Linked DNA regions of Arabidopsis thaliana. The protein of the gene in region 4 interacts with the protein of the main gene of each other region in a pairwise test. Each region holds a gene or a part of one and is shown on either strand. Other genes may lie near its edges.

Evidence for each region.
Region 1: the proteins of WOX5 (region 4) and WSIP2 come close enough for resonance energy transfer, tested with the Arabidopsis thaliana proteins (one study listed by BioGRID).
Region 2: the proteins of WOX5 (region 4) and TPR1 come close enough for resonance energy transfer, tested with the Arabidopsis thaliana proteins (one study listed by BioGRID).
Region 3: the proteins of WOX5 (region 4) and TPR3 come close enough for resonance energy transfer, tested with the Arabidopsis thaliana proteins (one study listed by BioGRID).

What each region holds. Positions count from the first base shown.
Region 1 is NC_003074.8:5,368,672-5,375,621, reverse strand, and holds the start of WSIP2 (WUS-interacting protein 2), read left to right. Parts: upstream 1-3,332; 5' UTR 3,333-3,457; exon of another isoform or gene 3,458-3,689; 5' UTR 3,690-3,752; coding exon 3,753-3,832; intron 3,833-4,002; coding exon 4,003-4,182; intron 4,183-4,271; coding exon 4,272-4,385; intron 4,386-4,496; coding exon 4,497-4,655; intron 4,656-4,739; coding exon 4,740-4,917; intron 4,918-5,002; coding exon 5,003-5,123; intron 5,124-5,646; coding exon 5,647-5,768; intron 5,769-5,850; coding exon 5,851-6,019; intron 6,020-6,168; coding exon 6,169-6,278; intron 6,279-6,514; coding exon 6,515-6,584; intron 6,585-6,710; coding exon 6,711-6,784; intron 6,785-6,950. Other genes in the region: AT3G15890 (Protein kinase superfamily protein), read right to left, coding at 1-141, 214-476, 563-710, 1,193-1,233. UniProt on the Arabidopsis thaliana protein: Transcription corepressor of Zinc finger transcription factors GAF1/IDD2 and ENY/IDD1 in regulation of gibberellin homeostasis and signaling.
Region 2 is NC_003070.9:30,258,833-30,268,636, reverse strand, and holds TPR1 (TOPLESS-related 1), read left to right. Parts: upstream 1-1,511; 5' UTR 1,512-1,737; intron 1,738-2,096; exon of another isoform or gene 2,097-2,128; 5' UTR 2,129-2,190; coding exon 2,191-2,270; intron 2,271-2,342; coding exon 2,343-2,522; intron 2,523-2,604; coding exon 2,605-2,877; intron 2,878-2,969; coding exon 2,970-3,147; intron 3,148-3,264; coding exon 3,265-3,388; intron 3,389-3,527; coding exon 3,528-3,637; intron 3,638-3,748; coding exon 3,749-3,920; intron 3,921-4,016; coding exon 4,017-4,126; intron 4,127-4,212; coding exon 4,213-4,282; intron 4,283-4,352; coding exon 4,353-4,426; intron 4,427-4,504; coding exon 4,505-4,600; intron 4,601-4,697; coding exon 4,698-4,793; intron 4,794-4,891; coding exon 4,892-5,019; intron 5,020-5,123; coding exon 5,124-5,358; intron 5,359-5,438; coding exon 5,439-5,579; intron 5,580-5,675; coding exon 5,676-5,738; intron 5,739-5,825; coding exon 5,826-5,972; intron 5,973-6,040; coding exon 6,041-6,151; and 12 more. Other genes in the region: PTAC17 (plastid transcriptionally active 17), read left to right, coding at 8,067-8,372, 8,483-8,548, 8,626-8,806, 8,894-9,090, 9,357-9,407, 9,518-9,609, 9,696-9,804. UniProt on the Arabidopsis thaliana protein: Transcriptional corepressor. Activates TIR-NB-LRR R protein-mediated immune responses through repression of negative regulators such as CNGC2/DND1. Negative regulator of jasmonate responses.
Region 3 is NC_003076.8:9,507,115-9,517,019, reverse strand, and holds TPR3 (TOPLESS-related 3), read left to right. Parts: upstream 1-1,612; 5' UTR 1,613-1,756; coding exon 1,757-1,836; intron 1,837-1,922; coding exon 1,923-2,102; intron 2,103-2,183; coding exon 2,184-2,297; intron 2,298-2,518; coding exon 2,519-2,677; intron 2,678-2,779; coding exon 2,780-2,954; intron 2,955-3,041; coding exon 3,042-3,171; intron 3,172-3,268; coding exon 3,269-3,381; intron 3,382-3,467; coding exon 3,468-3,603; intron 3,604-3,707; coding exon 3,708-3,817; intron 3,818-3,974; coding exon 3,975-4,196; intron 4,197-4,273; coding exon 4,274-4,369; intron 4,370-4,441; coding exon 4,442-4,534; intron 4,535-4,698; coding exon 4,699-4,826; intron 4,827-5,013; coding exon 5,014-5,248; intron 5,249-5,333; coding exon 5,334-5,495; intron 5,496-5,592; coding exon 5,593-5,667; intron 5,668-5,872; coding exon 5,873-6,007; intron 6,008-6,099; coding exon 6,100-6,210; intron 6,211-6,327; coding exon 6,328-6,507; intron 6,508-6,630; and 11 more. Other genes in the region: AT5G27020 (uncharacterized protein), read right to left, coding at 8,339-8,833; AT5G27010 (ARM repeat superfamily protein), read left to right, coding at 9,451-9,507, 9,580-9,652, 9,726-9,848. UniProt on the Arabidopsis thaliana protein: Transcriptional corepressor. Negative regulator of jasmonate responses.
Region 4 is NC_003074.8:3,523,811-3,529,684, forward strand, and holds WOX5 (WUSCHEL related homeobox 5), read left to right. Parts: upstream 1-3,469; 5' UTR 3,470-3,795; coding exon 3,796-4,099; intron 4,100-4,208; coding exon 4,209-4,453; 3' UTR 4,454-4,630; downstream 4,631-5,874. Other genes in the region: MEE34 (Mov34/MPN/PAD-1 family protein), read left to right, coding at 5,179-5,365, 5,756-5,848. UniProt on the Arabidopsis thaliana protein: Transcription factor, which may be involved in the specification and maintenance of the stem cells (QC cells) in the root apical meristem (RAM).

The DNA.
Region 1 (6,950 bases), 1.8 Mb from region 4:
CCATCTCCAGTATCATCATCTGGCATCAGCTTACCATAACCAAAATCTGTAACGCGAGCTTCAAATTCAGAGTCTAACAACACATTGCTAGCTCTCACATCTCCATGGACTATATGTGGGGTTGCGTGGTCGTGTAGGTAGCTGAGCAAAGAACAAAAGAGTCAGAAACAATGACATATTAAACTTTTCATGAACGGTTTTAGAGAGACTCACGCAATGGCCTGAGCAGAGCTTATGGCGATCTTCATTCGCTTGGTCCAATCTAGAAGACATTCAGCTGAATGCTGGCCATGAAGATGTGAAACCAAGCTCAAATTCTGCATGTACTCGTACACAAGAAGACGTTCTTGTCCTTCAGCACAGTAGCCACGAACACTCAACAAATTCTTGTGACGAATACGAGCAAGAATCTCGACTTCCACAGCAAAATCTATCTCTTCTCTATTACTCCATTCCTTCAACCTCTTGACTGCAATCTGTAAAAAGACAAAATAATCAACCTCACAAGATCTCCAGTTTGAACAAGAAGCAAGTCCTAGATAACATGTTGAGGTCAAATTACTTGTGAGCCATCCCATAGCTGACCCCAATAGACACTACCAAATCGACCTTCACCGAGTTTGTTATCGTAATTGAAACTGTTGGTGGCTGCATGAAGTTCCTTCAGTGAAAATACCCTCCAAGATGGCTCTTCCTTTTCTTTCTTCTTCCTGTGTAATTTAATCTCAGTATCCTCAAAAACTTATATTTAGATCATTCATCAACACATTAACAAACAAATAACTTATGAAACGCAGAACAACAGTTGAATCAATTATCCCTTGCAAAACCATGTCTTTAGAAGGAATAAGACCACCCTGAAACTACTCAAATTGCTATTAATGATGAAACTTTCAAGGATCAATCAGGTGATATATTATATAGTGAGGATGATAAAAAAAAGAACAGACTTTACATTTTAAAACATTAGAGATAAAGGGAAGGCATAGAGAATTGAACAAAAGATAAGCTCCAAATTTCAAACATCCAAAATTGATATAGAATCTTTAAACCCTAATCAAGAAGAACAACCATAACCGATTTAACCAATAAACAGAATTTTGCAGCAACCCAAACAAAGGAAATAAAACAGACAAACCCATAGAGAGAAACAGGAAGAGTAACAATTATCGAGTCAATGATTCAAACATACCCATCAAATCCTTTTCCACAACAGCTATTTAAAAGTTGCATCTTTCGAACAAATAGCTCTGTCTCCTAGATTTTTCCTCGTACGGACCAAAAAAAAAGGTAACGCTTTGTCTGGAGAAGGTAACAGTTTAATAGAACAAGTCTGAGTAGCTCTAATTTCGTCTCGATGTGAGATTGATAAACAGAGAGAGAGAGAGACAGAAGTACAAGTAGACTATTTATTTTGTTCTTTTTTATTATTTTTGCACACTTTTTTTTTTTTTTGCTCGCATAAAATAAACAAATTTTAAAAATATATATATAGTATTAAAAAAGAAGCTGATATGGAAAAGTCATAAACAATAAATAAAACTTTAACCAAAAGAAGAATAAAATTTTTGAACGTTAGTATCCGTTGTATAAAAGTGTATATATTAAGTTCCAACTGTATTTTTTTCTCATATCTATTTATTTATTTTTCCTTTTTATTATATGTGTCGTTTTAAAGTTTTTGTTTTACTCTTCTGTAATGTATTATACAGAAATAACATAATTATAAATAAGCTGGATTTTACCAATTATTTAATATAAAACGGAAAGGGTATGTTGTTGAAGATACTTGATGTTTTAAAATTTGAAGTTGTTGTAGTCATTGTTAAGGGTCGGCTGATGAGTCAGGACAACTCATTGAAACCATTTATTCGATGTTTCAAATATTAAACAAATAGACAGAAGATTCTACTATCTTCTTCAAAAATATAATATTAAACACAAGTCTTTGTTTCTTTGCTAGCTCTAGTTACAGAAATTTTGAATTAAAGCTATGAAAATAACTTTACGTTTAGTAAATTGCTAAAATATTCAGAGCGATCAGAAAGGAATGTTTGCTCTCTCATCTTAAAATTATATATTTGAGGTGATGCTTCTTCACCAACATGGGCAGATGGGCTTATGGAACCATTTGCTGATTAATTGCAGTCATTGATAACTGTCTGGGTGTGTCATTGTCATCAAAGTGATTGTTCAAGGAAAACATGTTTGGGACGAAATTGATTCCCAATCATGTTTAGCAATTGGGCCAGTCAATTCCCCCGATAATCTAGACCTAAAAGCCCAAACCAATGTAAGCAATACTGGTGTAGGAATACTTGTAAGAAGATTTGATATGACTCCTACTAGAACCATAATGTGGATGGACTGTTGAAGTAGCATAGTAATTACTAGCCAAAACATCCATGGGAAAAAAAATAAAGTACAAATATAAATTTTGATTTTTTTTTTTTTTATAAATAGAACAAAACTAAACATGTGAATAGGCCATATCTCTTAAATTCCTAACAAATTAGCATAATATATTCACGGAAATGCGTTACAAACCGTATTATAGAATAAAACTCCACTTTTTACTGTGAATTACTATAACAAAAAAGAAAGAATACACATTTGTAAAATTCACTTATTTGTTACCACATAAGATTTATATTTTTCCAAAAGTAAATTATCCATAAAACCTTTAATTTGTTTTTTTGACAATAAAAGATGAAGAAAATAAAATTTAATTAATTTGCGTACTACATAACTGGAAATAAAAATATCACATCTGATTTACTGCTATTCTTCTCTAAATTAAAAACTTCAAAATCCATTACTTAAATAATTAATTCATAAAAAAAATATTTGCAATATTAATTGACGGTTAGTTGATGTCATAAAAATAATATAATGGCACTAAATTCTATACAGAAACAGAAATAAACCAATTATGAGATACTCTACTTTAATGTATAGTTTGAAAAACAAAAAAAAATCCCCAGCTACGTTCAAAACCTAACGAGAGAGCATTAAATTAGACAGCAGTGTTGTACTAGATTCGCAACAACATCAATACGTCACTTAAATTAAAATAAAATACGAAAACATTAAATTAAAATAAATTTTAGAAAAAGTAATTAAAACGAAGGTTACTTATTATAGTGGGGAGATTAAGCTTTTTGAGTAAATTCCTATCTACAAAATACACGCTTCTATTAAAAAAAATAGAAGCCCAACGACCACACAAAAACAAATTAATTAAATCATAAAAACTCATAAATTAAAATAAAAAGCAATAAATCCAAAAAAAAAAAAAGGAAACTCCGAAAACGAGACAGCATCAGAAATTATCGCCATAAATAGCCCCCACGTCTCTCTCTCTCTCTTCTCCAAAGTCTTCTTCTTCTTCTTCTTCTTCTTCCTCTTCTTCCTCTCTGCTTTGTCTCTCTCCTTCTTCAAAGTCAAAATTCAACAGGTATTTATATTTATAAACTTTCCTTTTTTTCTTTAATCTCTTTCTCGGGAGCCTCTCTCGTATATTCTCGCACGTGCACATCTCGTGCCACCTGGGTTTGGGGGGATTCGTCTTTCGAATTCGATCGATTTCGTTTTTTTTTTTAGATCTGTCTTTCCTTTTTTGGGGTGTGAAGAAGATGTTTTCTTTTATAAAACCCTAATTCTCTCTTTGTGTCTTTGTGTTTGATTAGTGGTTCATGAGTGGTATTGTGATCGATCTGTTACTTTCGGAGAGCGAGCAATAAGAAGAGGATATGTCGTCACTCAGCAGAGAACTCGTGTTTTTAATACTTCAGTTTCTCGATGAAGAGAAATTCAAAGATACTGTTCACAGGTAATTTATATTATATCATTGTTTAATTGCGGTCCCTCTTCCTTTGATTGTCGGGATTAGAGTAAAGTAGGGATTAAGATTAATTAATTTTGATTTTGTAATTTAGCATTATTTCTTCAATGTTAATCCAGAAGCAGTTACAACTTTGGATATTTTTTTTGACTAATTAGGTTGGAGAAAGAGTCTGGTTTTTTCTTCAACATGAGGTACTTTGAAGATAGTGTAACAGCTGGTGAATGGGATGATGTAGAGAAGTATCTTTCTGGATTCACTAAAGTTGATGATAATAGATACTCTATGAAAATATTTTTCGAGATTCGGAAGCAGAAGTACCTTGAAGCACTTGACAAGTAAAGTTTCACTTGTGTTGTTTAGTTTTATTGAATTGAAGTGTGGTTTTGAGTATTGATTTGTTTTCCCATCTTTTGTTTTACCATAGGAAAGATCATGCCAAGGCGGTTGATATTCTTGTTAAGGAGTTGAAAGTGTTCTCGACATTCAACGAAGAGCTTTTTAAGGAGATTACCATGCTTTTAACCTTGACTAACTTCAGGTACATTCTTTACTTTCTTAGCACTTTTTTTTTATGGTTTCATTGACCACTGGATTGTTATAAACCATGCGCTTGTGGTGTTGATGTTTCATTTACTTGCAATAATTCAAGGGAAAATGAGCAGCTTTCCAAGTATGGAGATACTAAGTCCGCAAGAGGTATCATGCTTGGGGAACTTAAAAAACTGATTGAAGCAAATCCTCTCTTCCGAGACAAACTTCAATTTCCCAGTTTGAAGAATTCTAGATTGAGAACCTTAATAAATCAAAGGTACAAGCTTTGTTTTTTTAACTTTTGCTCCCGTTTTTCTTTTGGTGGAACAACTAACTGAACGTTGCTTCTGCTGAATCATAGTTTGAACTGGCAACATCAGCTTTGCAAGAATCCTAGGCCTAACCCGGATATAAAAACACTATTTGTTGACCATACGTGTGGGCATCCCAATGGTGCACACACTCCTTCCCCTACAACTAATCATTTAATGGGTTCAGTCCCTAAAGTTGGAGGCTTCCCACCATTAGGTGCTCACGGTGTAAGTTGCTCTAAGATTACAGCTTCTGTTGGATTAGTTTTTAGCACATGAATTTAACTTTGCTAGTTTGTATGCTCTTGTTCAGCCATTTCAGCCAACACCAGCTCCTCTTACAACATCTCTTGCAGGATGGATGCCTAATCCATCGGTACAACACCCTACTGTTTCCGCTGGGCCTATCGGCTTAGGTGCCCCCAACAGTGCTGGTAATGTTGTCCCTACTAATTTTATTCTTCTGAAATATGTGTGTTGGAGATTTAGTTTACCAAATATTAGCTTATACGGTTATGTAATTTGCCATCCCTTGTTTAGATCATCATTAGTTGGATGGTTATCTGTGCTTCTTTGACTGACTGAACTGCATGAAATGATATAAATATATTTACTGAGTTACATTTTCCAGAGCTGTAGTGGTAAACTGTCTCTCTTTTCTTTTACGGACTAAAGCAGTTTTTAGTGGTAAACTGTCTCTATGGTGGATTAGAGAGAGAGAGAGAACTATATGCTCATATCAGCCGTTTTGTTTAATTTCACAATACTCTTGTTTATAGATAATAGATAGAGAAGCAAACATTTAATTTAATGTCAGATAGCCTTGAAGTGCTGTCTTAGGTCTGAAACTTTTATTTATTTCATTTTTTGTAGTCCATAACGTGGAGATCAGTTTGTGTGTGTTTACCAATTGCATAGCTTACCATAATCTATTTATTCTTCTTTTTTTCCTTGCAGTGTCTATGTTAAAGCGTGAGCGTCCCAGGAGTCCTCCAACTAATAGCCTATCAATGGATTATCAGACGGCAGATTCTGAAAGTGTGTTGAAGAGACCCAGACCTTTTGGTATTTCAGATGGGGTATTAACGGCTGCTTGTTCGTTTTTCAGCTTAAGTTCTCAACTTTTCTTAGAAGTCACAACTTTCTTTGAACATTTTACAGGTTAATAATCTTCCAGTCAATGTCTTGCCAGTCACATATCCAGGGCAAAGCCATGCTCATGCAACTTATTCTACTGATGACTTGCCCAAAAACGTTAGCAGGATTTTGAGTCAGGGTTCTGCCATTAAGAGCATGGATTTTCATCCAGTACAGCAAACTATGCTCCTTGGTTGGTTTTCTCCTCTGAAGCACGCATCATTCTTCTGTTTTATTCTGGTTTATGCCAGAGAAACCTGCAAAACTTGTATCAGACAGCATAACTTTCATCTTCTCAGTACAATCTGCTTACTTTATCTTGGATTTACATTTGTTTCCTAGTTGGCACCAATCTTGGTGATATTGCAATATGGGAGGTGGGTAGCAGGGAGAAGCTCGTTTCTAGAAGCTTTAAAGTTTGGGATCTTGCTACTTGCACTGTGAACCTTCAGGTATAGTTCCTCTTTATTGATCTACTGTAACAGTCGAATGAGGTGGGAGATTTGTTGTTAGTTAGTTAAAACTATACAGAGGATTTTCTTCTCTTTTTAGTGAGGAACATATCAAGGTTAATAGCTAGTTTTCTGAGATAGATTACTCATAAAAGCTTTCAATATTGCCACGTACTATATCAAGGACATCTTTATCTTTTGCTGACCCGTTGTCTGATTTCATTCTTGTTCATTAGGCTTCACTTGCTAGCGAGTATACTGCAGCAGTAAACCGAGTTGTTTGGAGTCCTGATGGAGGTCTACTGGGTAAGCCATTCTATGATCTTATGGGCGTATCGTTAGTCAAGTGTTTGTGTCCCTCATGGGTTGAGGCTGGTTGTCATATAATTTTTATGGCAAATCAAGTGTTGTAACGTCTACTTCCTATTTCAGGTGTCGCATATTCCAAGCATATTGTGCATATATATTCATATCATGGTGGCGAGGATTTACGGAATCATCTAGAGGTCTGTCTTTTTTCCTAGTAGGTTACCATTCCGCTTATGTTTTTTTATATATATATTCATTGTTATATGTGGATATAGGCATGGAATCTGTTTACTGTAAGAATTTATAGTTCCTTGGTTTATTATTGTTTTCTTTTCTGTAGGATTCTGATAGTAGTTTTTTTGT
Region 2 (9,804 bases), on a different chromosome or scaffold from region 4:
TTCATCATTTGTTATAAGTCTCGATAAGACAGTTTTTGTTTTTTTAACAATTTTTTACAAAAAACTTACGACCATAATTTAGTTCAGGCGAAAATCAGTGAATCATTAATCATATTTATTAGTTTGGATTTTTATGTGTTTTTCTTTTTATGTATTTGAGGATTTTTCAGTTTGTGAAAACAAATCTAATATGCTTATTTGATTTCTTCTTTATTTGCTGTATTCTTAATATATCTTGCAGAGCTAAGGTAATACTCAAATTTTTTTTTTCCACACGTAAAAACTCATATTTATCAGTTTGGAATTACTGTATTCTTTTTAGTAGTCCTCTCACTCGCCATGGCAAGAAGAAGGTTTTTTTTTCCTTTTTCTTGCATTCCATGTTAATCAGTATTTGAATAAAAAAGCAAGCTAAATCGGCAAATGAACTTATATCCAAATAATCAAGATATCAATCTGTGTAAGCATTACTAGAAAAGTAGAGATACTCGTGTTACCGTGTAAATTAAAAGAATAAAAATGTGCTTTTCAAAAGTTATATACTTTTCTTGTGCACCCATAACTTTAGCAAAAGCAACCATCATCATTCTTGAGCAATTAAAACAAATAATATTGATCTTCATTTGGTGCCAAAATACTTTACGGTAATGACGTCAAACTCGATGTTTCTTGTCAAAGTCTGAAAGACCAATATAAAATAACACTAGACACATTATAAAATTAACATATTGGTTCATTGTAATTAAACCGTCGAATATATATAACGAAAATACCAATTACGCTGTGAATAAACAAACAAAATCATTTTATTAGTCATCGAGTAAATAAATTCGATTATAATCCTCAATAGTCAATATATATATAGCTCACATCACATTATGCGATTAACAAAAACAATCCAAAACAGTTAAATGATTAGAAATTAAACGAGTCTCACTAAATTATTAACGACTCCAAATCACGAGAAGGCTTAAGAGTTATCATGTCGGGAGAATTTAACTGATAACCTCTTCCATTATCTCTCAATCACGTGATTTTTGTTCAACGAGTACCGCATCTCAAGAATAAAAATGGCAATTTAGGTAAATATTTGTCATTTTCAAGGGCAATGGAACTTAAAGATGCATTTCAGAAGGAAAAGCTTTGTCGTGTTATGAGGGAAATGTGGGGACGCAGCTACTTCGCTTTCAAACCGTTGGATGAATATCCTTTAAGGTTCATCGTACAAGATCGACGGCACTCACCGAGGGTGTACTCATGTTGTGACACAGAGGATCATGTCTACTTGGAGTACAGCTAGCAGCTAGAGATTCTGAGCCGATAACGTCGAGAATTGTAGCCGGCTAAGTCGTATATGCTGGTTTAAACTTTAATCTGTACTTATATATAAGTCAACGTGCTTATCAAAATCAGCTCCCTTATCGTGTGATAGGTGCATTGTCTTATTAGACTCCGTTATCCGTCACCTTCGCATATTAAAATCACTTTTTATTTTTTGGTTTTAAATTAAAGTCTCCATTTCTGCAAGATTTTAATGTTCGTATAAATAAGCCTGAAGAGAGAGAGAGAGAGAGAGAGAAAACTTGTTTTTTTTTTTTCCATTAGTTTTTTTCTTACTTTCTGGTCGAGAGAGGAGAGTCCAAAAAACCCAAATCCTTGGCCTCTTTCAATATCAGGAGAGAGAAACTGAAGCTCTGGCCTTTGTTTCTGAAATCGATCGTCTTCTTCTTCTTCATGGCAAGTAACGTATCTAGGTCTTTCATTTTTGGTTTAATATCTAAATCGTAGCTTTTCTGGGTTTTTGATTTTTGTTTTTGTCTCATGGAAGTGAAAAAGATGGCCATTTTAAGCTTTATATTTAATTCGGTGGACAATAATAATACTAGGAAGACCTAATTTTTGTGTAGCCCAATTAAACACTAATTAAATCCGCCGGAATAGAGACTTTTGGAGAATTTTCCGGAGGATAGTTGTAAAGATCTAGTTATATACTGTGTAATTAAGAGGCTGTGTCTATTTTCATTTTTTAAAAATAATAATTAAATGGAGGAATATCTGAAACCCAGTAAATTGGGATGATTTGATGGTTTTGTAAGGTTATCATCGTCGCCATTATATTGATATGCAGATCTGGTGGGTTTTTCTGCATCTGACTTGATAGCTTTATCGGACTGAGTGGCAAAATCAATCATGTCTTCTCTGAGCAGAGAGCTCGTCTTCTTGATCTTACAGTTTTTAGATGAAGAGAAGTTTAAAGAGACTGTTCATAAGTATGTCCGATCTCTCTTTTCCTTTTTGTCTTTTATTAGGCATTATTATTAACTTGATTGATTATTAATTAGGCTTGAACAAGAATCTGGGTTTTTCTTCAATATGAAGTATTTTGAGGATGAGGTGCACAATGGTAACTGGGATGAGGTTGAGAAGTATCTCTCTGGTTTTACTAAAGTTGATGATAATCGATACTCCATGAAGATTTTCTTCGAGATTAGGAAGCAGAAGTATCTCGAGGCCTTGGATAGGTAACTTGTGTCTCTCAACAACAACAAGAATCAAATGTTTTCATATTGCCAATCAATCACACCTGCTGCTGCTTCTATCTAGGCATGATCGTCCCAAGGCTGTCGATATTTTAGTCAAAGATTTGAAAGTGTTTTCCACTTTTAATGAGGAGCTTTTCAAGGAAATCACTCAGCTCTTGACCTTAGAAAACTTCAGGGAGAACGAGCAGTTATCCAAGTATGGGGACACAAAGTCCGCCAGAGCTATCATGTTGGTGGAACTCAAGAAGTTGATTGAAGCTAATCCTTTATTCCGTGATAAATTGCAGTTTCCTACCCTTAGAACTTCACGCCTCAGGACTCTGATTAATCAGAGGTATTCTTTGTCCTTTCTTGTTCACTTCAACAAATTTTCTTCTTGTCAGCTACTTTAACTCCTTGTTTCTATGTGGCTACATAAACCTGCAGCTTAAATTGGCAACACCAGCTTTGTAAGAACCCAAGGCCTAATCCTGATATTAAGACTCTCTTTGTCGATCATTCCTGCCGCCTACCAAATGATGCACGAGCACCATCCCCTGTCAACAATCCGCTTCTTGGATCATTACCAAAAGCCGAGGGATTTCCTCCTCTAGGCGCACACGGGGTAGGTCAATTTCCACCTGATTTTTCGTATTTTCTATAAGTGCCATTTCTACTGCTTTTGGTTCTAGCTCTATAGTTACCTTTACATGCCGTGCTTGACTTACCTTTATGTCTTTAGCCTTTTCAACCAACACCTTCTCCGGTTCCGACACCTCTTGCTGGTTGGATGTCTAGTCCTTCCTCTGTCCCACATCCAGCTGTGTCTGGAGGACCCATTGCTCTTGGTGCTCCATCCATCCAAGGTTATTTGCTTATCAAATGTGGTGTTTCTTTATAAAAGCTGTGTGGAACTATAGTCTTAAATTTTATCCTCGCCTTTTTTTCAGAACCTTTAAGTTTCACCTGTGATCTATGTAACATGTTCTCCTTTTTGGTTCTTAGCAGCCTTGAAACACCCGAGAACTCCTCCTTCTAATTCCGCTGTAGACTATCCATCAGGTGACTCAGACCATGTCTCAAAGCGAACCAGACCTATGGGAATCTCTGACGAGGTGAGAAAAATCTTAATTAATATTATATATTTTCTTATCAATACCAATTTTACATAATTGGTAGTACTAGTTTAGACTTTAAACGTATTTCTTCTTTCTCCCCATATGTAGGTGAGTCTAGGTGTGAACATGTTACCAATGACATTCCCGGGGCAGGCTCATGGTCATAATCAAACCTTCAAAGCACCTGATGACTTGCCCAAGACAGTTGCACGAACTTTGAGCCAAGGCTCATCTCCCATGAGCATGGATTTCCATCCTATTAAACAGACTCTGCTACTAGGTCTGTTTCTTGGTCTGTATGCATATTTCATGTAACATACATCATCAGAAATTTTGTAAAACCAGAAGTTTCTTGCTTCAATTTTCTTTGTTCCAGTTGGTACGAATGTAGGGGATATTGGGCTCTGGGAAGTCGGTTCTCGAGAACGTCTAGTCCAGAAGACTTTCAAAGTTTGGGACTTGAGTAAATGTTCGATGCCCTTGCAGGTGTCTTCTTTTGTGAAAATCAACCAGAATATTAATATCTAATATCTATTTGAAACTTCAGTGACCAACAATTCTGGTCTTTATAGGCTGCTTTGGTGAAAGAACCTGTCGTTTCTGTCAACCGTGTGATTTGGAGCCCGGACGGTTCCCTATTCGGTAAGACTTGAGATTACAAATGCTCTTTCAACCGATTTGAGTATTCATATGCGCACGTTTTCAACTGCAGGAGTTGCTTATTCGAGACATATTGTACAGCTATACTCTTATCACGGTGGTGAAGACATGAGGCAACACCTTGAGGTGTGATATAGTTTACAACAACATTTTAGGAGTATTTCTTTCATTTCCTGTAATGAAAATCATTTTTTATTATTTCAGATTGATGCTCATGTTGGCGGTGTCAATGACATTGCATTTTCCACTCCGAACAAGCAACTATGTGTTACTACTTGTGGTGATGACAAAACCATCAAGGTTCAGTATTTTTTTTCTTCTTTCATTTCCTTAACTCTTGTTTTTTTTTTTTTTTGTTGGAACTCTAAAAACAGACTAATCAATTCTGTGAATTAAGGTCTGGGATGCTGCAACGGGTGTAAAACGGTATACTTTTGAAGGCCATGAAGCTCCTGTTTACTCTATCTGCCCTCACTACAAGGAAAACATTCAGGTAAAGTAGCAATATTTATACGGTTTCATTTTTGCTAAGTACAAGTTGAAATTCGTTTCTATTTGGTTTTGACTTGTTTATTTCTTCTTCTGCTTAAGTTTATCTTTTCAACTGCTCTTGACGGAAAAATAAAAGCATGGTTATATGATAATATGGGTTCTCGGGTTGACTACGAAGCTCCTGGTCGCTGGTGTACAACGATGGCCTACAGTGCTGATGGAACTAGGTTATAACATGATTCTCATCATCTTTATGTTGTGGTTCTGTTCTGTATCGTCATGAAGTGATAATAAATTTAAAATCTATTTTTTATTATATTCACATGGATAGGCTATTTTCTTGTGGGACGAGTAAAGATGGGGAATCGTTCATAGTTGAGTGGAATGAAAGCGAAGGAGCTGTGAAGAGAACTTATCAAGGATTCCACAAGCGTTCCCTTGGTGTTGTCCAGTTTGATACTACTAAAAACCGTTATCTCGCTGCGGGTGACGACTTCTCCATTAAGTTCTGGGATATGGACACCATACAGCTTTTGACTGCCATTGATGCTGATGGAGGTCTCCAGGTATGCAAACAAATACCTCGATTCTCCCTGGGAACCGAATGTTTTCATTTGCAGCCATCATGGCTCTCTATGTTTTGTAGGCAAGTCCACGGATCAGATTTAACAAGGAAGGCTCTCTCTTGGCTGTTTCCGCAAATGACAATATGATTAAGGTTATGGCAAACTCAGATGGTCTAAGGCTATTGCACACAGTCGAGAACTTATCTTCTGAATCCTCCAAGGTACTGAATTTTGTGCTCACTGGATCTTCAACAAGCAAATTACTAACCCCCAATTTGAAATTTCTTCAACACTTTATTTTTCATGTACATTTGCAGCCTGCAATCAACAGCATTCCGATGGTAGAGAGACCTGCCTCTGTCGTTTCCATCCCTGGAATGGTACGAAAATCGATACTTTTTCCGTCAGTTTCTCTATCTCTTGGTCTGGGTCCAATCATCGTTGTTGATCACTTACCTTTCCAACAGAATGGAGATTCGCGGAATATGGTGGATGTGAAGCCAGTGATTACCGAAGAATCAAATGATAAGTCTAAGGTATGGAAGCTTACTGAAGTCGGCGAACCCTCTCAGTGCCGTTCATTGAGACTCCCTGAGAATATGAGAGTCACCAAGGTACTAACACATAGACTGACATAACTGTACTTATATGGCTTGATTCTAATGACTCAAAACTTGAGCAGATATCGAGATTGATTTTCACAAATTCGGGAAATGCAATTTTGGCATTGGCATCAAATGCTATTCATCTGCTATGGAAGTGGCAGCGAAATGACCGTAATGCAACTGGGAAGGTACTTATGGTCTAAAATCTTCCTTTAAGATCGCCAAAAGAGTTGAAATCATGATGAAATTCAATTTGAGATTTTGTGTAGGCAACGGCTTCTTTACCTCCTCAGCAGTGGCAACCAGCGAGCGGGATCTTAATGACAAACGATGTGGCTGAAACTAATCCAGAAGAAGCCGTACCCTGTTTTGCTTTATCGAAAAATGATTCCTACGTGATGTCAGCATCGGGAGGAAAGATCTCTTTGTTTAATATGATGACGTTTAAGGTAAAATCCCAGCTACAGACAGCACTATGTCTAATGTATGCAAACAATGCTTCATCTGTTACATTTAATTGTGTTGTTGGCTAAGCGCAGACAATGGCTACTTTCATGCCGCCTCCTCCTGCCGCAACGTTTCTTGCTTTTCACCCTCAAGATAACAATATCATTGCGATCGGGATGGATGACAGTACAATACAGATTTACAATGTTCGTGTTGATGAGGTTAAGAGCAAGCTTAAAGGACATTCTAAGAGAATAACCGGCCTCGCTTTCTCCAATGTATTAAACGTTCTGGTTTCGTCTGGAGCAGACGCTCAGGTGCTGATTCATCTCATGTTTTGTAATAAAGAATCCAAATCCTTAGAAGTCTTAGTGTGAATCTTTTGGTTTTTGTATGCAGCTTTGCGTATGGAACACGGATGGATGGGAGAAGCAGAAAAGCAAGGTTCTGCAAATTCCACAGGGAAGATCCACGTCTTCTTTGTCAGACACGCGTGTTCAGTTTCATCAAGATCAAGTACACTTCCTTGTGGTCCATGAAACTCAGCTCGCTATATACGAAACAACCAAGCTTGAATGCATGAAACAGGTTTTAGTCTTTATATATGTTCATTCTCTCTCCTTGCATCTGAGTAACCCTTATAGAAGAAAGAAATGTCTTTATTTTGATTCCAGTGGCCTGTGCGTGAATCAGCAGCTCCAATAACACATGCCACATTCTCATGTGATAGCCAATTGATATACACAAGTTTCATGGACGCTACAATATGCGTCTTCAGCTCTGCAAACCTTCGATTGCGTTGCAGAGTCAATCCCTCTGCATATTTGCCAGCTTCTCTCAGGTGAGTTAATGAAATGAATATAAACTAGTGCAATGTTGGATCATGAATCTTGAGTCTTCATGTTGATGTTTTGTGCAGCAACTCGAATGTCCATCCACTGGTGATAGCGGCTCATCCGCAAGAATCCAACATGTTTGCAGTGGGTCTGTCAGACGGAGGGGTCCATATATTCGAGCCGCTTGAGTCAGAAGGTAAATGGGGAGTAGCTCCACCGCCTGAAAATGGCTCAGCCAGCGCTGTCACGGCTACACCTTCCGTTGGAGCTTCTGCCTCTGACCAGCCTCAGAGATGATCTGCTTCAGTTTCTTACTCTGTTTTTTTTGTGGGGGTTTTAGATCTTTTCCGATTTATTATTGTTTTGTTTGTGTGGGGGGAAGAAAGCATTCTAACAAGGTAAATGAATTAATAGCTTACAAGTTCTTCTTAATTGGTTAATTCGATGTTGCTTGCCTCTGATATTTTGGTCTTGAGAAATATCAGTTTTGCAAAAGGACGAATTTGCAATTTTGCACTCCGAATCTAAGCACGAACTAAGGATTGAATGCCACGTGCAGCTTCGAGATAGGTTTGGATATTCGTTTTGAGATACGAAGGAAGAATTACTAAGGCCTATGCGGCCCACGGCCCACAGACTTATATATCTACAATGATAAATATCTTCAAAAATAGTAATTTTGAGAAAATATTGAGAAGAGACAGAGAAAAAAAATCGAGTGAAAATTATCTGGTGTGTGTATCTAGAAGAAGCTACAGAGTGGGACGAGGTTTAAACTCGCCAATCGCCATTGACCTCTCGCTTGCTTTCTTTAACTAAAATGGCGACGCTATCAACACTAGAGATTGCTACGACCTTCCTCTCTTTCACCGCTCCTCGTTCCTCTGCCGCCTTCAACTATCGCTTTTCTTCTGCCGCCGTCTCTGTTCTCTCCAGGCCCAGAGCTACCACCGTTTCCGTCAGAACGACGCCGTCTTTCTTCTATTCCCCGGTGGTCCGCCGTCAAAGATTCTCATCTGTCTCCGCCTCAGCTACGCAGACTGAAGATTCTGATGTCACCACTAAGATTCCGCCAGATAACCGGATTCCGGCTACTATTATCACCGGTTTTTTGGGCTCTGGCAAGGTCAGTCAGTGTTTCTCATCATTTCATATCTATTCTAGGGTTTAAAATTAGCCCTGCTAAGTAAAAGAAATGTTGGACTAATTATACTGCAATGTTTTGTTTTTCCACAGACAACATTGCTGAATCATATACTGACCAGAGATCATGGGAAGCGAATAGCCGTGATTGAGAATGAGGTTAGCTTATTATCCTCGCCTGAATTCAGTTATAATGGTGTTGCTTTCTAATTCATGTTTCATGTGAATTCTCTCAGTTTGGTGAAGTTGACATTGATGGGTCACTTGTTGCTTCTAAATCTATTGGAGCTGAGGATATTGTGATGCTCAACAATGGCTGCCTTTGTTGCACTGTTAGGGGTGATCTTGTCAGGATGATTGGAGAATTAGTCAATACCAAGAAAGGAAAGTTCGATCATATAGTCATAGAGACTACAGGTTGGGAAAGGGGGCATTTTCATTTAGTATGCTTAGAGAATCTGGGGAATGAGTAATGACTATCTTATGTTTATTTTCACTTTTTAGGATTGGCAAACCCGGCACCGATTATCCAAACCTTTTATGCCGAGGAAGAAATTTTCAATGATGTCAAACTGGACGGTGTTGTTACTCTAGTTGATGCTAAGCATGCTCGTTTGCATCTAGACGAGGTCAAACCCGAAGGTGTTGTCAATGAGGCTGTTGAACAAATAGCTTATGCAGATCGTATCATAGTTAACAAGGTAACCAAAGTTTTGAACACAATTGTCTCAAAGAGAATGTGATAGTTTTTGTGATCTTGAGTGGTTGAATCTCTTCTATCATAAGATTCAGGTCGTTCCTCTCTCAAATAGTTTATAGTTTACAAATAAATTCATTTGCACAAATGGTTTTGACACGTCCTAAGTGATGGATCCATATGTTTTACTCAAATATATTGAGAAGTTATCGGTTGTATTGTTTTTGTTGGCATATCCAATTTCTGAAAAGTGACTGTACTTTGTTGCAGACTGATCTTGTTGGTGAGGCGGAATTAGGTTCGGTGGTACAACGCATAAAGGTCGGTCTCACATCTTCTTCGTATTCATTTATTTCACTAGATGATTATATGTTAGTCTCTCAGACCATTCTTGGTTATAATGTTAACGTATTTGCTATGGTTATCTACAGACAATAAACAGCATGGCTCAGATGACGCGAACAAAGTACGGAAATGTTGACTTAGATTATGTTCTTGGAATTGGAGGTTTTGATCTAGAGAGGTCTGCTTCTTGTTTAACTTATGATAATATTCAGTTTGGTGTCTTGTAGCTTCACACAGTTATTAAGGTGTTCTTTGCTTTATCAGAATCGAAAGCTCTGTGAATGAAGATGATAAGGGAGATCACCATGATCACGACCATGATCATCATCATGATCACAACCATGACCACGACCATCATCACCACGATGGACAT
Region 3 (9,905 bases), on a different chromosome or scaffold from region 4:
ACAAATTTAAAAATATTTTCTACATTTATGTTAATAAGTAAATTTTACTTAAGTTAGGAAACATAGTATCAAATTTCTTATTTTACTTAAGTTAGGTTTTGAAGAATTAACCTCGATTTGTATCTATCGTGTTTTTAAAAAATGAAAATTGACATTTATCCTTAAATTTATAAGATATATTTGTAAATTGTATTGTTCTCATTAGTATACCCTAATCACTTTTCTATCTCTCTATAAATACCTGTAAATCTCATTCTAAAATAAAGTCAATACATTTAGCCTCTATATGGTACCAAAGCTTACAATTCTAAATGGTATAAAGAATATATATGATATATTGTGAAAATGTTGGTGCCACTTACCTCGGTACCAATCCGGTTTTCTATTCTCGAATGAACCATATATATAGCACTTAATTCAAGCTGGAATGCTTCAGATTACTCATGTCTCCATTGGTGATCAGTTAGCAAATACATTCACTAAATCTTTAGCGAAATCAATATTTCAAAAAAAAAGTTCCAAAATTAGAGCTACACGAGTACTTCCATACTAAAAGGACGTATAAAGAATATACATGTAAACCATATTGTTATATCCTAATCATTTTTTTCTATCTCTTAAATACTTGTAAATCTTAATTCTAATAAAGTTAATGTATTCGGCCTCTATAAAATTTTATTTTATATATACTTAATAAGTTATTTTCATACTCCATATGTTTCTTTTATTTGATTTTCTAGAAAAAAAATGTTTCAAAAAGATTAATTTTATAGGTTTTCAATACAATACTTATTAGTTATAATTGATAAATTGTAAACTTCAATAAAAATTATTGAATATTATTGGTTTAAAGTTATTAAAAATTTTAAATTATAAAAAATAGTACATTTAAAAAACAAGATTTAATATGTCTTTTTTTAATATTTATGTTTTTCCTAAAAAATCAAATAAAAAGAAATATTAAAAATATTATTTTCCTTTTTTTATTATTTTTCTTTTCAAATATCTATTTTCTAAATCCATATTATGTTTTTCTTTTATAAATAATCTCATTTCGCCATGGAGAACACGAGTAATTCTCCTGGTGTATGCCTAAAAAAAAAAGCAAAGATTATAATATGAGTATATATAATTATATATGACGTAACCTGCGAGATGTTGAATTGTCCACATTGTAATTGTCACGAACACTTAATTAAATCTTGCGAAAAAGAGATCTCAAAAATATCGCGAGAAAAAGAAAAAAAGGATAATATGAGAAAAGCCAAACGAAGAGTGCATCGAAAGCTGAGAGCGACATAATAAAGGAGAGAGAAAAATGTGGGGACCAGACTGGACGTGTGCACAGAATATTCACACTATTTGAATTTTGTTTTCGAATCCGCCACTCTATCTCCAAATCAACTTATCACTCAATTTGATAATAACTTAACCTACCTCTCTTATAAGGAAGCCTACTTATCACCGACGAAGACTCCGCTTATATCTGATAAGTCGGTAGAACGATGTCTCTGTGCAAAGAAGAACGCGTCCAAGAAAGCGAGGTCTAAAGTTTCTCAATCCCCCAATCTTCTCCTCCTTCTTTATATATTCTCTCTCTCTCTCTCCATTTTTCTCTAAAAGCTAGAGCTCTTCAAAACCCTAGAAATCCTCGAAATCAGAGTCTTTACCTGGGCTCGTGTCTTCAGAGCTCGGATTCGTGTTTCTTTCGTCGTCTCTCTTCTTCGTTTCTCGTCAGATTTGAGATTCGTTGAGAATGTCGTCGTTGAGTCGAGAGTTGGTGTTTCTGATACTTCAATTTCTGGAGGAAGAGAAATTTAAGGAATCTGTGCACAGGTTAGTCTATTTATATGGTTTGTTTTGTGTTGTGTTGTGAGAGGCTGAATTTTGGGATTGACTGATTTGTAATTTGTTAAATATAGGCTTGAGAAAGAGTCAGGATTCTTCTTCAATACCAAGTATTTTGATGAGAAAGTTCTAGCTGGAGAATGGGATGATGTTGAGACGTATTTGTCAGGTTTTACTAAGGTTGATGATAACAGATACTCTATGAAGATTTTCTTTGAAATTAGGAAGCAGAAGTATCTCGAGGCTCTTGATCGGTATGATTATAAGCTGTCTTATTTGTTTTTTTACTCTTGAAGATTTGTGGTTTTAGAGTTTGATGTTCTCTGTTGTTACAGGCAAGAGAAGGCAAAAGCAGTTGAGATACTAGTGCAAGATTTGAGAGTTTTCTCCACTTTCAATGAGGAGCTTTACAAAGAAATCACTCAACTCTTAACTTTGCAAAACTTTAGGTATGATATATTGAATTTTGATCTCTCCTTGTTGATGTTTCTGTTGTTATGGAAAGTAGGAATATGAGACTTGGTTTAGGTTCAGTCCAAGTCGAGTTCGTGATGCTTTGTAGACTGTTTTTGTTTGGATGTGAAAGAGGGTGTGATACTCGAGTTTCTCTCTCGATTGTTTGCGTTTTGTGGATTGAAATTTGACATCAATGATTTTCATGAATCTGCAGGGAAAATGAGCAGCTTTCAAAATATGGAGACACTAAAACTGCTCGGGGCATAATGCTAGGCGAACTTAAAAAACTAATTGAAGCGAATCCACTTTTTCGTGATAAATTGATGTTCCCTACTTTGAGATCTTCGAGACTGCGGACTCTGATTAATCAAAGGTGTGTTTCTTTTTTCTTTCCTCATGACCATTCTGTATGTTGCAGATGAGGTTTGGATGACTTCGTTGTTGGATGATTCATTGTGCATATGTTCTCTTGCAGCCTCAATTGGCAGCACCAGTTGTGCAAGAATCCTAGGCCAAACCCAGATATTAAAACTCTATTCACAGACCACACTTGCACACTTCCGAATGGTCCTCTCGCACCTTCAGCAGTCAATCAGCCTGTTACTACTTTGACGAAGCCAGCAGCTTATCCGTCACTTGGACCTCATGTTGTAAGAAACCTCGATGTTTGACTGCTTTAATCATGTTTTTTGAATCTAAATTAATCTTAATGTTTGTGGAATCTGTATTACATGTAGCCCTTTCCACCTGGTCCTGCTGCTGCTAATGCTGGTGCTTTAGCTAGTTGGATGGCTGCTGCCTCTGGTGCTTCTGCTGTCCAAGCTGCCGTTGTTACACCTGCCTTGATGCCTCAACCTCAGAATCAAAGTTAGTTTTTGACGATCCTCTAGATTTCTAATCCTCGACTTATCAATAACTATCATTTCAGTTTCCATCAAAAACTTATTATTTTTCTTCCAAAAAGTGTCAATCTTGAAGCGACCAAGAACACCACCAGCAACTCCAGGTATAGTAGATTATCAGAATCCTGATCATGAACTAATGAAGCGTCTCCGCCCTGCTCCATCTGTGGAGGAGGTAACGCGAATTCTTTTCTTTTTCTGGAAAGCTGTTTATATAATTCTTGCATCTTCTCAAAATTCTAAGCATTTATCATTTTCCAGGTGACATATCCTGCTCCTAGGCAGCAAGCTCCATGGTCGCTGGAAGATTTGCCAACAAAGGCAGCTCTGGCGCTGCATCAAGGGTCCACTGTGACAAGCATGGAGTTCTACCCTATGCAAAACACGTTACTTCTTGGTATGGGGGTTTGAAAAAAAGAATACAAATTCTAAACTGTGTTTGAAGTTATATTTCTGTTATCTCTTATTTGGCTTTCTGAATGACCGTTTGAATGCCATCAGTTGGATCTGCGACGGGAGAAATCACATTGTGGGAACTTGCCGCTCGAGAGAGGCTGGTTTCAAGGCCATTCAAGATATGGGATATGTCTAATTGCTCACATCAGTTTCAGGTTTGTCTTTACAGCTAAGAAGTTTTTAGTTTATGTGTTTGATGTATAAAGGCGGAATTCAACCAAATGGCTATGAGAAGTGTTGGAGATAAAACGTATCAGCAAACTAGTTGCTGTGCAAGATTCTTATACTTGCCTTTCTTTTGGCATCATTCAGGCTTTGATAGCTAAAGAAACACCGATATCTGTCACTCGCGTTGCATGGAGTCCGGATGGAAATTTCATTGGTAAGCTTCCCGTCATGCATTGTTGGATTTTAATTGTATGTTGTCTATGGTCTCTGGTCTCAGTCTCTTATTGTGCAGGGGTTGCGTTTACAAAACATCTAATTCAGTTGTACGCTTTCTCTGGACCTAATGATCTTCGCCAACATACTGAGGTAAGCATACTTGTGATCTGTACGAGAAATATTGCGATGTAATAATATCCCACTGAGACTAGATCACTTTTTCACAGATTGATGCCCATGTCGGTGCTGTGAACGACTTGGCTTTCGCCAATCCAAACAGACAACTATGTGTAATTACTTGCGGAGATGATAAATTAATCAAGGTGAGATAAAGAGTCACAAAGTTTCACTGTTAGATATCAATGCAGCTGGCTAACTTGATCAATGTGGAACAGGTATGGGATGTTTCTGGTCGGAAGCATTTTACTTTTGAAGGCCACGACGCTCCAGTTTATTCCATTTGCCCTCATTACAAAGAGAACATTCAGGTGCGGCAAGGATTGAATCAAACTATATTTTACATCAATTATTATACTGTTTTACCAATCCGTTTGAAGAACAATAAAGTAGACGACACATTTCATATAGTATTATCTTGCCTATGAATTTCTGTTCTTTACCAAAATACATCTCGTTCTTATTTGGATTTCAGTTCATATTTTCAACCGCCATAGATGGGAAAATAAAAGCCTGGCTTTATGATAATCTGGGTTCCAGAGTTGACTATGATGCTCCCGGTAAATGGTGTACGAGGATGCTTTACAGTGCTGATGGTACTAGGTAAGATCTTAAACTCATAAACATTTCCCTCTTCTATACCGCTTGTTCTTCACTCCTCAGTTTCCAAAATCTTCAGATTCTTTTGTTTACTCCGGAGGATACTGAGTTGTGTCCTTGAGTTTCTAATCTTATCTTTCTGTTTTAAGTTTACCTTTTCAGTGCTTTCTGATGTTTTTTCCCCCTTCAGATTGTTCTCTTGTGGAACGAGTAAAGATGGAGATTCTTTCCTAGTTGAGTGGAATGAAAGTGAAGGATCAATTAAAAGGACGTATAAAGAGTTTCAGAAAAAGTTGGCAGGTGTGGTTCAGTTCGATACCTCAAAAAACCATTTTCTGGCTGTTGGTGAAGATGGACAAATCAAATTTTGGGATATGAACAACATCAATGTTCTGACTAGCACTGATGCTGAGGGTGGACTTCCGGTAAGTCCCAAAGATTCTTTTTCCCATGGCTTGTTGCTTGGATGTTCGTCTTTTTAGGTTTGCATATAACTTGTCCCAACTTCAGGCTCTTCCCCATTTGAGATTTAACAAGGACGGCAATCTTCTAGCCGTTACTACGGCAGATAACGGATTTAAGATCCTAGCTAATCCAGCTGGTTTCCGATCTCTTCGAGCGATGGAAACTCCAGCTTCTGAAACGATGAGGACTCCAGTTGATTTCAAAGCTGTAATGTTTCTCAACTTTGTATTACATTTTTTCCCTTTTTTACATCCACTGTCATTACAAGCTGTCTCGGTTTACACACTTTGGTATATTCTGTTAGGTTCCTGGTGCTCCTGTTGCGTCTGTCAATTGTAAAGTTGAACGAGGCTCTCCTGTTAGACACTCACAAATGCTGGTAAAATCACTCATTAAATGCTATGTTTCTAGCCATTTCTATAATTTATTATTCTGTTCTGGATTTTCGGTTGTAAATGAAGTGAACTTCCATTTGTCGAAATTGTAGTTTACTATTCTCTGACTATAGTAGTTGACTGTTTCCGATTTTTTTGTCATGTTTAAAAAAAATATTTACTAATCTTTTTTTTCTGAATATCCTCAAGAATGGAGTTGATCCCTCAAAGTCGAGAATCGATGACTCAACAGACAAACCAAAATCTTGGCAATTAGCTGAAATCTTGGACCCTTCCCAGTGTTTCCAAGCTACTTTACCCGATACCGCTGGTTCTTCCACAAAGGTTTGTGCAGTTATCTTTCTCAGAAAGTTGTTGGATTTCTATAAATGTTTTGAAATTGAGGCTTAATTTTCTCATGCTGCGTGGGAAAGCAGGTTGTTCAGCTTCTGTATACGAATTCCGGTGCTGGAATCTTGGCACTAGGTTCCAATGGTATCCAGAGACTCTGGAAGTGGGTTCCCAATGAGCAGAACCCTAGTGGAAAGGTAATCGTAAAAAAGAGTTTGAGAGAGCTTAATGCATGCTGTCTGCGGTTTTAAAGAGTTAGAGATAGCTTAATGCATGCTGTGTGCGGTTTTATTTAAGTACTGTTTATTATGCAGGCAACTGCTACTGTTGTTCCTCAGCATTGGCAACCAAACAGTGGTCTTCTTATGACCAATGATGTGTCTGGTGTAAACCTTGAAAACGCTGCCCCATGCATCGCTCTCTCTAAGAACGACTCATATGTCATGTCTGCTGCTGGAGGAAAAGTCTCGTTGTTCAACATGATGACTTTTAAGGTATATATTATCTATATGAACTTAAAAAAAGCCACAAGATTTCTAACTGAAAATGTTCTCACACTAATCTAGTAAACTCTTTTGGTTGTTCTAATTTCCACAAAAAAACTATTGGCCTTATAGGTGATGACAACATTCATGCCGCCTCCACCAGCATCAACGTTTTTGGCGTTCCATCCTCAGGACAATAACGTCATCGCCATTGGAATGGAAGACTCTACGATTCACATCTATAATGTCCGAGTGGATGAGGTAAGTAGTTTCTAGTACTAACCATTGCCACTTATGTAGTCTTTTTGATCTATGACAAGGAAAAACTTGTGAACCTTACGTTTTTTGAAGAAATGGTTCTCATAGCTTCACATATGTTTTACAGTTTAATTTTCCCCTCACTGCTAATGTTGCCTTAAAACTCTATCAACGATCTGAAACTTGCATATTGTGTTCCATCAGGTCAAATCAAAGCTAAAGGGTCACCAGAAACGCATCACAGGCCTAGCATTTTCTACAGCCCTCAACATCTTGGTTTCATCTGGTGCTGATGCACAGGTGTGTTATGCTGCGTCTTGTTGTTGTTGTTGTTGTCCTGTAGTAAATATATCTCAACTGAAGGGAAAAATGCTTGATTATTTTGTGTTGTTTCCTTGCTGGATTTTCTACCATTAGACTTATCTAATCTAGGAGGATACTTATTCTTCCTGTTGTCTTCTCTTAGATCTGCTTTTGGAGCATTGACACATGGGAGAAGAGGAAATCCGTTGCAATACAAATGCCAGCAGGAAAAGCCGCCAATGGAGACACGCGGGTTCAGTTTCATGTGGATCAGTTGCGTATTCTGGTAGTCCACGAGACACAACTGGCGGTATTTGATGCTTCCAAGATGGAATGTATCCGACAGGTATCTATGACTATGATGAGATCATCTCTGTAAATCCACTTATATAAAATGGATCATCTCTGACCTGGCATGTATATATGAAATGCAAGGTCATATATACATATTCTTAATCATTATTTTGAAATTTGTAATGACTTATGTTCTCTTGTTTTCATGTCTCAGTGGATTCCACAAGACTCGCTGTCTGCTCCTATATCTTCAGCGGTGTACGCATGCAACAGCCAGCTGATCTACACCACTTTCCGCGATGGTAACATTGGAGTATTTGACGCGGACAGTCTCAGATTAAGATGTCGTATCTCTCCATCCGCCTACTTGCCTCAAGGGTAAGTTTATCCAACATTTCATCAGATTCTTATTTCTAAATCACTGTACTTTGTAAGGTTTGGTACATGAATCTGTATAATAGACTTAAATTGACTTCTGAAACATGAGAAATTGGTATATTTTCATAAGCCAAAATAGTTATAAACTCTTCTCATTGATTCTCTTTGCTTTCACAGGAATCAAGGCTTGTCTCCTCTTGTTGTGGCGGCTCACCCGCAAGACCCAAACCAGTTTGCGGTAGGTTTGAATGACGGGTCAGTGAAGATGATGGAACCGACAGAGGGTGAAGGCAAGTGGGGGATGATTCCACCCTCTGAAGCTATCAATTCACCATCCACCACAAGCAACCAAACTCCAGAACAGTTACAAAGATGAACAAACCAGAATGGCTTCCTCATAATCCATCAATGTAACTAATCTCGATTATTTATAGGCAGTGTCATTAGATCTTCAAATGTAGCCTTAGTTTCAAGATTTCAAGATTTCAAGATATTGAAAATTGGTAAGAAATAAAGTTTGTATAAACTACCTGCAAATCTCTAATGAGTGAATCAACAAGAAACTGAAACTACACTAGGACTAATACTGACGAAAACCGATCAACCGTCATGGCTCGGGTAGGAGAATTCCGTCACCATCATACTGCAAAACCCCGTTCATTGGTTTGCATCTTTCACCCATTAGTATTCTCTTCTTGCACAGCTCCTCTTCTTCCATTCCTTCACTTAAGCTTCTTCTTCGGTTTCTTCTCCTCTTCAATCTTTGCCCTAAGATGAGTGTCTTCAGTCGAATTCTTGCGCTTTCCCAGAAACTCCCCTTCTTCTGAATTGGGTTTTGCTTGAGTTTAACAAACACGGTCTCATCGCCCTCAGAACCATCTCTCTGTTCTCTGTTTTCACCTGAAAGTGTTTTCTTGCGGTTGAAGACACCGGAAATCACAGAAGTCATCTTCTTAACTCGAAAAACCATTCTCCGTCTGATGAAATCTCTCTTCATGTTCTCTTCTTTCTTTATCTTCTTGCCCATATCGGCCTCTTTCTTGTGCCTCCTCGTTATCTCTGATGGTTTAGGTAGTTTGATCTTGATCGTTCCTTGTTCCATTGAAACCCTAAACTTCTACGACGTTGACACAGACGAGTCTTGGCGAGTCTTTGCTCGTCTCAGGGATGATTTTAGAGTTTGATGAAGATAGTGATATCGTCATATGATTCGATGAAAATGGTAAAGAGAGAGTTAGTGGTGTTTGTGGAGAGAGTCGTGGGTTTGATTTAACTACACTTCTTCTAGTGGTACAGTACGTTGACTTGTGAGAAAATAAAAATCAATCACCCATTAAACCGGCCCCGTTTTAGCCAATTTGCTTTAAAGCATCTAAACCGGTCTAATCAAACGACTTAACCAACTAACACAGTTCTCCGTTTCAGAAAACCCTAATTTATCGTTCCTTGTGGTATAAGATTGTAAGAGGAAGATTCATCGATAACATGGTTTACTCCTCTCAGTTCCTCATATCTCTGGTTTAGTTAAATCGTTTCGGTAACCCGGTTTTGGATGTTGATTTATTTTAAGAATCAATCAAAAATCTTCTTAAACCTCAATTTCTCTCTCGATTCATCATCATCTTCATCACCATCAAAATTCTCAGTTCTCCGGGTTGGTTCTTCTTCCTTCGTAACCAGCTCCTAGGCTTTGATTTGATTTACAAAGATACAAAATAAATGTCTCGCTCCAAGGCTCCTGCAAGGAAGCAGCAAAAGAAAGGAATCGATTTCAAGGTTCTGTTTCTTTATGGTTTTAAGTAACACTATTCTGTTTTTAGGGCTTTAAGTAACTTTGTCTGTTTTCAGAAAATCAAGAGAAAGCTCGGGAGAAAATTACCTCCACCAAATAATGCAACTAACACAGAGATTAAATCCAAAGGTATAAGCTTTCTCCTGCAACTTCAAACTTTTTAACTTCTTCCTATGAGAAATTGCTTTTTTTTCTATTGCAGCAATTATACTTCATGAGCAAAGTGTGGCAGCAGAAAGAGATGGCTTCGCTACAAGTAAGAAAGGTTTGACCTTGCTTGAGCTTAAGAACCGAACTGGGCATCCCAATGCTAAAGTTCGCAAAGGTACTTTTTTTGGGTGTGTTCTCATGTTTTTGGTTGATGAAAATATGAAACCTGCGA
Region 4 (5,874 bases):
TATGAAATATGTATGTATAGATTATGCATTTTCGTTTTTGGAGGCTATCATCACACGTCTAAAATTAGTCCATGTGTTGTTAGAGCTGTCAAATTTTAGTTATTGACAACACTACTATACATGGTATTTTCTGGAAAAATGTATATAAAAAAAAAACACTTTTTAAAGTGAAGCTTTTTATTCCACTTACGTATGTTAAAGTGCTTAGAAAAAGATAGGAAATTGTACTGGACATACAGAGAAGACAAAGGACAAAGAAGACCAATACATGTCGCTACTTTTTACAAATCTCTAAACCTTAAATTCTTCCCCATGTATGCTTGTGAACAATTAATAATTTGAATTTAGATATAATTCTTCAATTGCCTTTCAAAATCATTATTCAGCAAATTAAGTAATTCTTCATGTTAATAGTAATCGTTGACATCCAAATTTGGATATATATTGATAATTTAAACTACCAAATATTCCAATGAACTAGTTCATATCGTTTGCTAAATAATGTTTTCTATATGCAATTTCGTGATATACTACAAGGTTATATTTCAAAGTTTCTAGAAGCAAACCTTTAAAATCAAATCAAATATGAAAATTACTTAGGAAAAAGTTACACGCTTGACATGAATACAGTTTCTTTTTAAGATTTGGTATTAGTTGAACCTTTTGATGAGAGTAATGGAAAAAATATGGAACCCATTAAAAAAAGAAGTTAGATAATACTACAAAATTCCTACCACAAAAGAAAAGAAGAAGATAATACTACAACATTGACCTAGTAGTTAGAGCCACCATACCCAAACTGTTGTCGTATCAAATCTTTAGTAATTGTACTATTCTAATGATCGATTCAAATATTATAATATAGAGATTATAGATAATTGTATAGATATTGTACGTTAAAAGAAATATGTATATATTACATGGAACATCATAGGGAATTGAATGTTAGTGGACATTACGATGTGAGACCGCCTTCAACTTTTTTGACTACGATAAGAACACAATTCTCGCTGTCTGAGAAGTCTATATACAAATGAAACAACTCCAATGTTATCTGTATATAATCAATAAATCATCTTGCAAAATTTGATCGTCGTACTTATATATTAATTACTAAATAGCCAAACAAAGCTTAAGTTTTGACCATCTTAAAACACTATTATTGATGAAGCGCGAAACGCTATAATCATTAAAGACGCCAAACTCAAAGTTTCTTTTCTCCCTTAGGTTTGCAACTTTGCATCTGTGTAATTTTAAATTTAACTACAAATACATATTAAAGTAATCATATATGAACTTAAGAACTATACTTTCTCAAACTAATGTGTCGTTATGTTTTTGATAGTTGTTCTTTCTTATAAATATACTAGCTCAACTTTTTGTTCGAAAAGTTGTCTCAGCAGTTACTTAAATCAAGAGTGTTGTCCATTAAGGCTAGACAACGTCCATAGGTGTTTATAGAAAGAAAAAAAACCTTCCATAGGTTTCCATTGCATTAACACAAACGGGTTGATTGATTGCTCTCTCGCTAATTTTTTTTAATACTAATAGTCATCATAAACTTAAAATTAGAAACCAAGGTTGCTTTTTGAGGTTCCCAAAACTTGGAACCCGGACTTGTGTAAAAAGAAAGAAAAAAACAACCCAAAAAACTATGCAAAGTAGTGAATGTTGTATAAAAGCATATATCACAACAACAAAAAAGAATATTGCAAAAAAACAAAGTATATGATATGTTTGGGGGCATCCAATACGAGAGTTTTGATATCTCAAATCCACGACATGCTATCTTTAACTTTTTAATGTACAACTCACAACTGTTTTATCATCCAGTACCAGTAATTGATGACTAATTGGGTGCTGGGTGCATGCCACTTTTTTCTATATATCTAACAAATCTAAGTCATAAAGTTTCTCTAAACCGAATTAAATCCAAAAATCTACTTATTTAGTTAGACTCGAGAGTAGGTAATGAGATATTCTGTAAGAAATTTGTAATTAAACAAAGATGTTATGTAAATTAACTGGGATGATTCCAAGTAACATAAGCCACGTGAACTTTGACTTTGACACCGAATTGATCAATTTTAAAAACAAGATGCAGTTTATATGCGAGAGAGACAAAGATATTTGTAAGTACTGTTATGTTGTCTAGTGAAGAGTACTTTGTTTATAAAAACAATGTTTGGTTTTATTCACATTGTCATTTTATTATTTGGACCATTTTCGTCTTGCTTAGCATCCCGTGCATGTCTCATCTAAATCCTCACTATTAAGACATTTTAACGCACACTACATGAATATTATAAGTTTTTCCTTTCTATTTCTGCTGGTGTCATACGTACTGTTCATATAGACATCAATAAGTTTCTTGTACAAACAACTAGACTATGCAAAATTATAAGAGCTGGATTGTATATTGTTAAAACTGAGGCATGTATGAGTTGTACGCTTAAAAGTGAAATATTTTTTCGGTCGCAGGTTATATACTAGAATGCAGTTAGATTTTAACTAAGAAATAAATTTTTGACCAAAGCATTTACAGTATAATGCATGATTTATGTTACTATTGCTGCTGTCTCATTTTCAGATTTCAAAAATCAGATCTAATTGACGTGATAGCATATAGAGGCTAGTAAAACACTATGAGTTTATACTTTTATTGATGGTTAAAATTATTTTTACATCTTGCAGTCATCTTTCAACCATTCTTCATTCTAGAAGGAGTTCTTGGTGACTTAATAAATGGCTTTTTACAAATATTTTGGTGTAGGACTTATATTATACATGTGTGTGGCGAACCTTCTGGTTCTATCTATTAAATGCCTTTTCTTTTTGTAGTTTTTTATGATTCAGAATTCAGATATTTGATTTTGTAATATTATATTTTCTTATAAAAGAGAATAAAATTTCAAATTTCCTGTCTACACTTGCCGACCAACGTTCCTCAAGTGTCACATCTTCTGTGCAAGAGAGACAAAACTACAATCTGTTCACACAATGTCATGATGTTTATAATTAATCTTATCATCTTCATTCATATCAAACTAATATCGGCCATCCATCCGTCTCAATAATGTAATTGCATACAATCTTTGTTTAGGACTTGCTAGCTATTTCAACTTATTATTGATTACAGATTAGATCTACAATTTGTAAAGAACTTCTAACTTCAAAACAAATACAAAAAAAAGAAAGTGAATGTAAAATTTCTAGTGTCATAATTTGGAATAGTTGAAGCATTGAAGTTACAATATCGAACGTTAAAATATTGACACTAGATAGTACATTACCACCAAGGCTTTCTGATTATTCTTATCATGTTATATGAATAGTAAGAAATTACGTAGAACGCAATTTAAGTGTGTGCGAGTCACCACAAATTAAAGGAGAACAAATTCAATGTTTCAATCGCTGGTTCCGATATACAACTTATGCATGCCATGGCATGAATGCGAGATCCAATTATATACTAATATATACACACAAAAACATATGTAAATATAGATGGAACAGAAGCCTAGATAGGTTAGGATAAAGAAAACGATCAAATCTGCAAAGATCAGTCTCTCCCAAATCCCCAAAAAAAACAAAGCATGCATTTCGTAATAAACAACTCATCATAAAACGACACATAACTCGAAAACCTCTCCTCCCGACATTTCATCAATTCATTTCTCTTTTTATTTTCGAAAAGATGAAAACTTAATAAATTATTATGAACAATCTTACTATATATATGGATATATACACAGGCCCTAAAACGTAAAACAGTTGAGGACTTTACATCTGAACATGTCTTTCTCCGTGAAAGGTCGAAGCTTACGTGGCAACAATAACGGAGGAACGGGGACGAAGTGCGGGAGATGGAATCCAACGGTGGAGCAGTTGAAGATATTGACTGATCTGTTTCGAGCCGGTCTTAGAACTCCAACAACTGATCAGATTCAGAAGATCTCTACGGAGCTCAGTTTCTACGGCAAGATAGAGAGCAAGAATGTTTTCTATTGGTTTCAGAATCATAAGGCTAGGGAGAGGCAGAAACGTCGTAAAATCTCCATTGATTTTGATCATCATCATCATCAACCATCAACTAGAGGTAGTCTCTTTATATATATATATATATATATATATATATATAATTATATATCATTATTGTTTTATATGATATTTCTATATATTTAATGGATAATAGTGTGTTATTATAGATGTTTTTGAAATAAGCGAAGAAGATTGTCAAGAGGAAGAGAAGGTGATAGAGACATTACAACTCTTTCCGGTGAATTCATTTGAAGACTCCAACTCCAAGGTGGACAAAATGAGAGCTAGAGGCAATAACCAGTACCGTGAATATATTCGAGAGACCACCACGACGTCGTTTTCTCCATACTCATCATGTGGAGCTGAAATGGAACATCCACCGCCATTAGATCTTCGATTAAGCTTTCTTTAAGTCATTGACCACAATAACAAAAGAAAAAAAACAGATGCTTTAGCCTTTAAAATGTTGTTGTATTTTGAATTATGACATATTATCCGATGCATGGTTTATGAGATATTTTCCAATGCATGGTTTATCAAAAAGTTGTCTCATTTTGTTTGATATAAGAATCTATGTTATGGAATGCGTATATGTATATCATCATATAACTAAGGTTGTGATTTGTTAATGTATTTTTCTATATTTTTTAAAAATAATTTAAGAAAGACATCATTAACGAATAGTTCTATTTGCATCACAGAAATACTAGAAATATCAGATAAACTTAAAACTTAAAAGATGTTAAAAAAACAAACTTAAAACTTATCTCTATCAATTTACAAAATTTACATCATCTCGAAATACTTAAGTCTTGATCAACAACCATTAGACCAAAAAACTTGCACAATCTTATCAGAATAAAACCAACTCTTTTAAACGAACAGATTAATATCCTTAATATTATTTTACCCAGACCCATTGTCTTTTAGGCCCATATAATTGGGCTTTATAATACAGAGAAGGCCCAAACTTTGGTTAAACCCATAGTGCCTAGAGAAGATTAATTAAAGGGGTTTTCCTGGAGAAGAAGCAAACTCAAGTTCCGTCGGAGATAAAACGGAATCAAAAGTTGAGGTTTTGATCATTCCCGGAGAAAGAAATTTAGAATTACTCAAGCGAATTTGATTAACCCAACAATGGATGTTATAAAGACGCAACAAATATCGGCAAGGACAATCGAGAAAGTGATCGTTCACCCACTTGTCTTGCTTAGTATCGTCGACCATTACAATCGTGTAGCCAAGGACACGAGCAAGCGCGTCGTCGGCGTTTTGCTCGGAAGTAGCTCTCGTGGTACTGTTGACGTCACCAACAGCTACGCAGGTGCCTTGATTTTACTTTTTCCTTTCTCTTTGTTCTCTTCGATCTCACAGATCTCTGAAAGTTTGTTAAGCTCTTGCTAATCTCATAATTCAATATGTTTAGTGTTCTTGTCTGAAAATTTACTTAAGTTTAGTTTTTTTTAGCTTTTGGGTTGCAAAATTGTCTTACTTTTAAAATCGTTGTGTGATACTTGGATTCAGTCAAACTTGGTCCTAGTGGCCTAATTCCATATTGGAGTGATGAGTATAATATGGTGGTTGAGTTAATTTCTTAGAGAATGAAACAGATTTCATTTGATTTTGCACAGTACATTACACTGTGAGCATGTTCATAAGTGCGTTGTTGTTACTTGCACATCACTTGTTTGACTTTTTGTTTGTGGTTTTACAGTGCCTTTTGAGGAGGATGACAAAGACACAAGCATATGGTTTCTTGATCACAACTACCACGAGTCGATGTTTCACATGTTCAAGAGAATTAATGGTATTGCTCGGGAAATATAATGCTTA